Linked DNA regions of Oryzias latipes. The protein of the gene in region 1 binds, or shares a complex with, the protein of each later gene. Links are inferred from orthologs where the notes say so. Each region holds a gene or a part of one and is shown in the gene's direction. Other genes may lie near its edges.

The links. Proteins that work in one complex are often made in the same cells at the same time.
Region 2: the proteins of ap3b1 (region 1) and AP-3 complex subunit mu-1 are in contact, whole or in part, in a cryo-EM structure (PDB 9C5A), measured with the Homo sapiens proteins. The link is inferred for Oryzias latipes from reciprocal best matches to the Homo sapiens genes AP3B1 and AP3M1. Residues at the interface, in NP_003655.3 of Homo sapiens: Leu60, Lys64, Val67, Gly68, Ile70, Ala71, Lys72, Gly73, Ile92, Glu93, Lys96, Leu97, Val100, Arg104, Glu107, Asn128, Gln129, Leu130, Arg137, Arg143, Ser163, Pro164, Tyr165, Lys168, Asn169, His172, Gln175, Lys176, Leu202, Ser206; in NP_001307192.1 of Homo sapiens: Met1, Phe15, Leu16, Glu17, Trp20, Lys21, Ser22, Val23, Gln26, Val42, Glu43, Asn44, Val45, Pro46, Pro47, Val48, Ser50, Tyr55, Ser58, Ile59, Tyr60, Gln71, Thr72, Glu73, Val74, Pro75, Pro76, Leu77, Phe78, Ile80.

The regions. Positions count from the first base shown.
Region 1 is NC_019870.2:3,643,733-3,647,232, reverse strand, and holds part of ap3b1 (AP-3 complex subunit beta-1), read left to right. Parts: intron 1-1,491; coding exon 1,492-1,589; intron 1,590-1,672; coding exon 1,673-1,727; intron 1,728-1,840; coding exon 1,841-1,912; intron 1,913-3,500. UniProt on the Homo sapiens protein: Subunit of non-clathrin- and clathrin-associated adaptor protein complex 3 (AP-3) that plays a role in protein sorting in the late-Golgi/trans-Golgi network (TGN) and/or endosomes.
Region 2 is NC_019873.2:23,929,022-23,932,957, reverse strand, and holds the start of AP-3 complex subunit mu-1, read left to right. Parts: upstream 1-1,136; 5' UTR 1,137-1,327; intron 1,328-1,539; 5' UTR 1,540-1,544; coding exon 1,545-1,817; intron 1,818-2,913; coding exon 2,914-3,085; intron 3,086-3,179; coding exon 3,180-3,317; intron 3,318-3,404; coding exon 3,405-3,490; intron 3,491-3,582; coding exon 3,583-3,716; intron 3,717-3,936. UniProt on the Homo sapiens protein: Part of the AP-3 complex, an adaptor-related complex which is not clathrin-associated. The complex is associated with the Golgi region as well as more peripheral structures.

The DNA.
Region 1 (3,500 bases):
TTGAACTTTAAATCTCATAAATTTACAAGAAAGTCATACATTTATGATATTTAAGTTGTAAATTTAAATCTCATTATATTACCTTTATTTTATTTTATTTTGTTTTTGTTTGTGGCCCCTAATACGATGTCATAGCCTTTTGTATTTTCAGCCTTTGTTTCTTTCCCTCTTTGCTTTTAGTTCTTAATTTCCAGTTTCAATTCAGACTTTTTGACTGACTTTGGGCGACAGAGGTTATGGTGATGTCATTTCCGCTCCAAAACCGCTTCTTTCTGCAAATTCTAAGTAGAAAGTTAGTAGAATGTTCTGTCCTTGTATTCTCTATTGCAAAATGAATTAAGTTATACAGTTGTTAGAAGTCTTTGTTTTCCCTTTCCTTTATTTTTTTTATACTTGAAGAATTACCCCAAAGAATTGTTATAGTGCTTAAAGAAAATAAGCAGAAAAGGACACTTTTCATGGCCTTTTCCAGTTCTGAGTGCAAACTGTCTAAACTTGCCTGATTCTATGTGTAAATGTTAATAGACCAGCTCAGTGGCCTTGTGGTAGAGTGTCCGCCCTGTGACTGGAAGGTCGGGTCATACCAAAGACTCTAAAAATGGGACCCAATGCCTCACTGCTTAATGCTTAGCATTAAGGGGTTGGATTGAGGGGTTTAATCCACCAAAAGGTTCCCGAGTGCGGCTGTGCCTGCAGCTCCCCGCTCCCCCAGGGGAGGGGTCAAATGCGGAGAACAAATTTCACACTCCTATGTGTGAAAGCAAATGGTACTTTAACTTTAACTTTAATAAATCGTGAGCTGAACTTAACTGCATTTTTGATTGATCAATTAATCATTACACTAAACAATTAAGAGATTTTATTATACAGCATTACCCAAATTTAGATTTTCCAATGTTGGAATATAGTAAAAATGATGTCAAAGCTTAAAAATGTTCTATGAAAAAGCTTGAATTTGTCCTGCATGGAGAATTTCAACATTCTCTCTATAATACTGCGATCAGAGTACGCTGTCTTGTATAAATACAACATGGACACAACCTGTCACAGTGGGGGGAAGAAGAAAAAAAGAAAAGAAAACTGTGAAAGTGCGGATCTCCATCACACTGGAGTCTCAAGGTCTCCGTCGCCGGGGAGCAGCGGGAGGAAAAATGCTCCCAAATGAAAGCGTTGATTAAAATGTGACACGCTGTGTCTTTCCTCGCGTCGGCACAGTGACATCTTCCATCTTCATAGATGGCTGAACCTTTTCATTCTGCCTGAAACGACGGACACACGCCATCCTGCTATTTAAAGCTCTGCTGAAAAATGACCCTGATGGTGGGATGTTGTTAGAGGGCCTTCATACAGGCCAGAGAGATGCTGGAGTTATATTTATTGTGGGTCATCAGAAGATGGATGGGACCATGGTTTTGTTTTATTTTTAATTAGGACTTTGATCCAAACTGAAGGATAAAATCTTGTAATAATGTGCTGTTTGCTTTGATTTAGGTCGTGATGTCTGTTGCTCAACTTTACTGGCACCTGGCGCCAAAACACGAAGTTAGTGTCGTCACCAAGTCTCTTGTTCGGCTGCTGAGGAGCCACAGGTTGCCTTCACACTTTTTTCCTTCTGCAGAAGGTTTGGCGTACAAATACTCCTAACGTGTTTTCATTCTGGTCTTCTGCACAGAGAGGTGCAGTACATCGTTTTGCAGAACATTGCCACCATGTCCATTCAGAGGAAGGTAAGGCTGCGTGTCAGACCTGCTGTGTTTTTTTTTTTTTTTTTGATGTGATGCGTGTATTTTTGGTGTGTTTTTTTGGATGTGATGTGTTTAAACGTCTCGTGTCCTTCCAGGGAATGTTTGAGCCGTACATGAAGAGCTTCTACGTGAGGTCCACTGACCCCACGCACATAAAGACCTTGAAGGTAGCTGCTCGTTTTGTCCACAGATGAGCAAATAAATGCTCAGAATAAATGTCAGAAAGGCACGATAAAAGGGTGATGAAGGTTTTTAAAGTAAGCGGCAGGAAGAACATTTATTTATTTTGCAAACCATTATCTGAGAACTGGACCGTCATCCACAGATATTGGTTTCCTCCAACCAAATGAAGACAATCCAGTACTATTTTGTTTTTTTGTGGTATGGACGCCCCCACGCTGGAGCATAGGCCTGGGCGAAAAATCGATTGAATGAATTTGAATTTTTTTGTTACGGGCGATTTAAAAAATAACTAAATTGAGTTTCTGTGTAATGGCACATTTATGGCTCCCCAGAACTTCCGTAGCGCTAGTTTCACACGGCGGTGTGGCAAGCGACAAACAAGAACATCATAGCACACACGAAACAGCAAGTGACAGCATGGCTACCGGTGAGAATGGGAAGTTGACCGCGAATCGCTTCATCACCACGGTGATCAAAAATCCCACACCGTCTCAGCTCAAGTTTATATCTTGTGGTACACAAAAAATGCGAGTTCTCCAGTACCGATAGCAGAACCGTTGAGGTCAGGTCTTGAAGAATGTTGCCCCGGGGCTCGTTCAATACCGGGTCTCGGTACCCATCCCTAGGACGGGATGGGTACCGATGGGTACCGAAAGGGGCACGGTGGAGAGCAATCACAGAAGCGGTCGCTTTGCATATAGCCAAAGACATGGGGAAGACGGGGTTTATTAATTTAATTAAAACCATAGACCCCAGGTTTGAGCTGAATTGTTAATCCTTTCGAAAATGGTGCTACTCTCAAGGTGAATGTTTGTCTCCTTTTAGTCTAGACTACAAAGTGGGACTTAAAACACAGCTAGGACTTTGGTTCCAAGAGTGTGTTTATTTATTTATTATTCATCCCAGAAATGGGGGTTACATTTGTCTTGCGTTTGATCAAATCAAAGCAAAATTTGCTTTAAGTTGTCTGTCGTTTGTACTTATTGCTTTCCTTAAGTGGGGGGGTCGGGGGAAAAATCAGAAATCGAATTTAAAAAATATAAAATCTGAGATTTATTTTTGGGCCATATCGCCCAGCCCTACTGGAGCCAGTAAACAGAGGTCAATCCAAGTCGGTCTGCGTCATTGTTTCTATGGCAACCTGTCATAGGAAGTCCACACCTACACGGAATCTGTCAAACTGTTTAAACGTTGGACGTATGGACCAGCAGGCTCCACCTACTCTTATTGAGGCATCTAATTGGCCAGTTTACAATTTGACTAACTACAAAATTCCTGAAAAGAAATTTGATCAAAAAGATGTTAAATACATTGGAGCAGGAATGGTTTTTGTTACATTTTTATTGTTTCCTAGCGCTGGTCCGCCGCCTATCTCATGCAAATCTTCCTCCAGGCTTTTTATTTTCGCAGCTCTTTTCCTACAAAGGTTTATCTTGGTTTCATCTTAATCCAGTAGGGCACAAAACGTAATTAGTATTTTTCTCCTTTGTGATCATGTTTACAACAGTTGGATATTCTGTGTTTTGAAAAGGACGCGACCTACGTGTCACTGTCCCCCGATTGGTCACTGTG
Region 2 (3,936 bases), on another chromosome or scaffold:
AACTTTGATACCTTTTTTTTTCTTCAAAAATGTAAAAACAACATAAATAAAAGTAGCTATTTAATCTATAAAGCTGAGACAGATGATAGGTTTTAACTGCTGTTCTGTAGGTACTGGGTGTATATAATGTCTGATTTGAGCAATTAATTCAAAGGAATTTTGAGGTTTAAAGCCAAATGTAGTTTAATGAATGTAATATTTTGTTAATAAAATCAGGAAATGTAACCAATAAAATTGTGAAGTAACTTTTCATAATCAGTAAAACCATACAGGATCTGTTTTTCCATGTCAGGAAGAAATCGAGAAAAAATTGAGTCATTATATCATACTGACAATTACTTCCAAACTAATTTTTTGTGATCATAGGTCGAAATTAAATATATGAATGTTTCTTCACATTGTTTACAAAATCTACCCCCCCCCCATATTAATCCTTTTGTCTTTGCAATTATCTTTCGAAAATGCAGTCGTATCAAGGAAGTTTGTTGTTTTCCCTGGGTAGTGACTTGTAGGTAAGTTGTTGCTGCCATAGACAGTATGGTTCCTGCCCAACTCAGTTTAACGAGGAGCTGTAGTAGTTATAGGTGCTACTTTTTCTAATCATATACATACAATAAAATGGTGAATAAAACTTCGGAAACTTCCAAATACTGTCATTAATTGTGTTATACCATGGGGAAATGCGTACGTTTCACAACAGTACACGTTAAAATGCCATCAAAATACAAAAAATCATATTGAGTTTTCCAAATAGTTTTTCTTTAAAAATTTGTAATATTCTAACAAAACCTTTCCACACAATAATGCTGACATACAACAATGGATTAGCTATTTTAAAGAACACCGAAAACTGAATGGTCTGATGCGCGGCTTAGATCGTTGTCAAAGGTTGCCTGCAAAACTATACACCGGTTTTTTTAACCCACTGACTGACAACAATGAGAGCAAAACAGCTGTCCTCTGATTTTGCCTGATTAAAAATAAACCCACTAACTTTAAATAAAAAAATGGAGGGGAAGAATATTACACTTTATTAGATTATCGTGAATGCCACTTCAATAGCGTAAATATACCCGTTTTTCAACTATTAGTCTAGTAGCACAATTCAGTTCTTTCTGCTTACGTGTGCACATAGCTGTAGGCGTCCCCTGAGATGCCTATGAGATATACTTCCATATTGGCACCAACTGAGTATTCTTCCCTGTAGTTGAATCGAGTTTTTTCTTTTTTTAAAGCAAGTGATCTACAGCTAAAACTTTGTAAAAGCTGTAAAAATATTTCGCACTTTACATGTTGGTCTTCCTCTGACAGGATTAACGATAAGTTGGTAAGTATGATTCATATTTTTCTTTCTGTTATCTCACTCAGCACAATAAACTTTTAACTTTTCAGATAATATTTCAAAAGTCTTTTCATTTTTTTTATTTTTTACAAACTGTTTAGTTTAAGTTATTTGAATCATGTGACCGACATTGTGTAGTTATCGTGTGCCATCTGGTCTAAGAGAACCAACTCAAACAACAACGTTTCCTTCTGCAGCTGAGATGATCGACAGTCTGTTCCTGATTAACCACTCAGGAGACATTTTCCTGGAGAAACACTGGAAGAGTGTTATCAGCCGGAGTGTTTGTGATTACTTTTTCGAAGCTAAGGAAAAAGCAGTAGACCCAGAAAATGTGGCCCCTGTCCTGCAGACCCCACACCACTATCTCATCAGTATATACAGGGACAAGATCTTCTTCCTGTCTGCCATCCAGACTGAAGTGCCTCCACTTTTTGTCATCGAGTTCCTGCACAGAGTTGGAGATACATTCTTGGTAGTATTGATTTCTTACCTGAATGTCTTCTTTGTGATAAGTGTGTGCCAGATCTTAAGTGCTTCTAGTCAAGCTCTAGGAATAAGTTTCCTTCTTGCTGCACTTTCATGTAAGTATATAATATATATTAAAGATATAACTAAAAAGTCCTTTATAAGACATTCTTTGAGGCATTAGTTTGGCCAAATATAAGAATTTCAGCAGCAACCTTAACCTTGACTGCAGTTAGTATTTTGTGCTGACTTAAACCAGGGATCGTCTTTGGAATTATCATTTAAACCAATAAAAAAGTATTTTTATTTCAGACTCGAAGTGTAAATGTCAACACCATTAAAAAGAAACACAAGACATACAAAATAATTAAAATACAAGTGAATACACCAATTATAAACCTAATAAAGTGGCCAAACCAGTACCTCCAAATTGGGGACTGGTAATGCAAAGTGCTGTGCCTGATGTTGGTTAGGGTTAAAATGATTTTATTCTTGGAAGCGTTAAAGACGTTGTATAAAACCATAAATAAGATTACTTAAAAGAGCTTGGAGAGTGTTGACTCATATATCATACGTCTTTTTAATAAAATCCCATTATATACCCCATGCAGGCTAAATGGCTATGGAAGGATTTGTTAATACACGATAAAGATATTTTACTTTGTGACTTATGTTTTATTTTGTCTAAACTAAACTGTGTTTATGACGGAAATTGTCATGGGGCACTGTAAGAAATGTTGCTGAATGGGTTTCATGTTAAAAAAAGGAAGAATTGTCAGATTTCAGTTAATAGTAAATGTACCATGTGTACATGCAGGTATGGTGACAAAGCAGAAAAGGAAAAACACAAAAAATATCTTTGAAAATATTAAATTGATAGTTTTGTGTGCTTTAATGCAAATTAAAGGGATTTTATTAAATCTGCGATCCAAAGTAATATCAAAAGGCTCTTCAAGTGCTTAGAAGTACAGCACTCTCAATTGTGCTACACTCTTTCTAATAGAACACAGAACTTACGTTATTGCCCATATTGGTCTGCTGACGCTGCTCAAAGGGACAGCCACTGTTGTCCTTTCAGTAACATTTTTTTTTTTTTTTTGCAGGATTACTTTGGAGAATGTTCAGAAACTGTAATCAAGGATAATGTAGTGATTGTTTACGAGCTATTGGAGGAGATGCTCGACAACGGATTTCCGCTCGCCACCGAGTCCAATGTCCTCAAGGAGATGATAAAGCCTCCCAACATTCTGCGGTCAGTCGTCAATACACTAACAGGTAAACAAACGTCACAAGGAACATTGTGAACTTCTGGCTCTTTAAGTCACACTGAAGGGCAGCGTTAACATTACATTTCATTTGTTTTTTCCAGGAGGTAGCAATGTTGGAAACACTTTGCCAACAGGTCAGCTGTCTAATGTTCCATGGAGAAGGGCTGGTGTCAAGTACACAAACAATGAGGCATATTTTGATGTGATCGAAGAAATTGATGCAATTCTCGATAAATCAGGTACTTGAAAAGAAGAGAAGAATAAAGCAGTTGGTGGGAAATGCAGTTAAATGCACAGTAATACCGGTGACTTTGTTTACTGAACAGGGACAACAGTATTTGCAGAGATCCAGGGGGTCATTGAAGCTTGTGTGAGGCTTACCGGGATGCCGGATCTCACTTTGTCCTTCATGGTGGGCTCATTTCCCCCCATATCTGTATTTAGATCATCTGTGCACTTTTGTTCAAGTCTAAATTTTGCTCATTATTGATGTATTATTGACAGAATCCTCGTCTCCTGGATGATGTGAGCTTTCATCCCTGCGTGAGGTTCAAACGCTGGGAGTCGGAACGGGTTTTGTCTTTCATCCCTCCAGATGGAAACTTCACTCTCATGTCATATCAAGTCAGCTCTCAGAAGTAAGTGATTCATGGGGAGAGCAATGGGGTGACTAGGGCTGGCTATGGATTATGAGGAGGACTGCATATATGAAGATGTCATCCTATCCTCAGGTTATAAAAATTCAGAGCTGGATAAAAGTTTTCAACCACAAAGAAAATTACTTTCAATATACAGTTTAGCCTCTTAAAGCATAGTTTAAATTGGAGGTTGTTGCAATTAAATTTTGGCATAACTCTG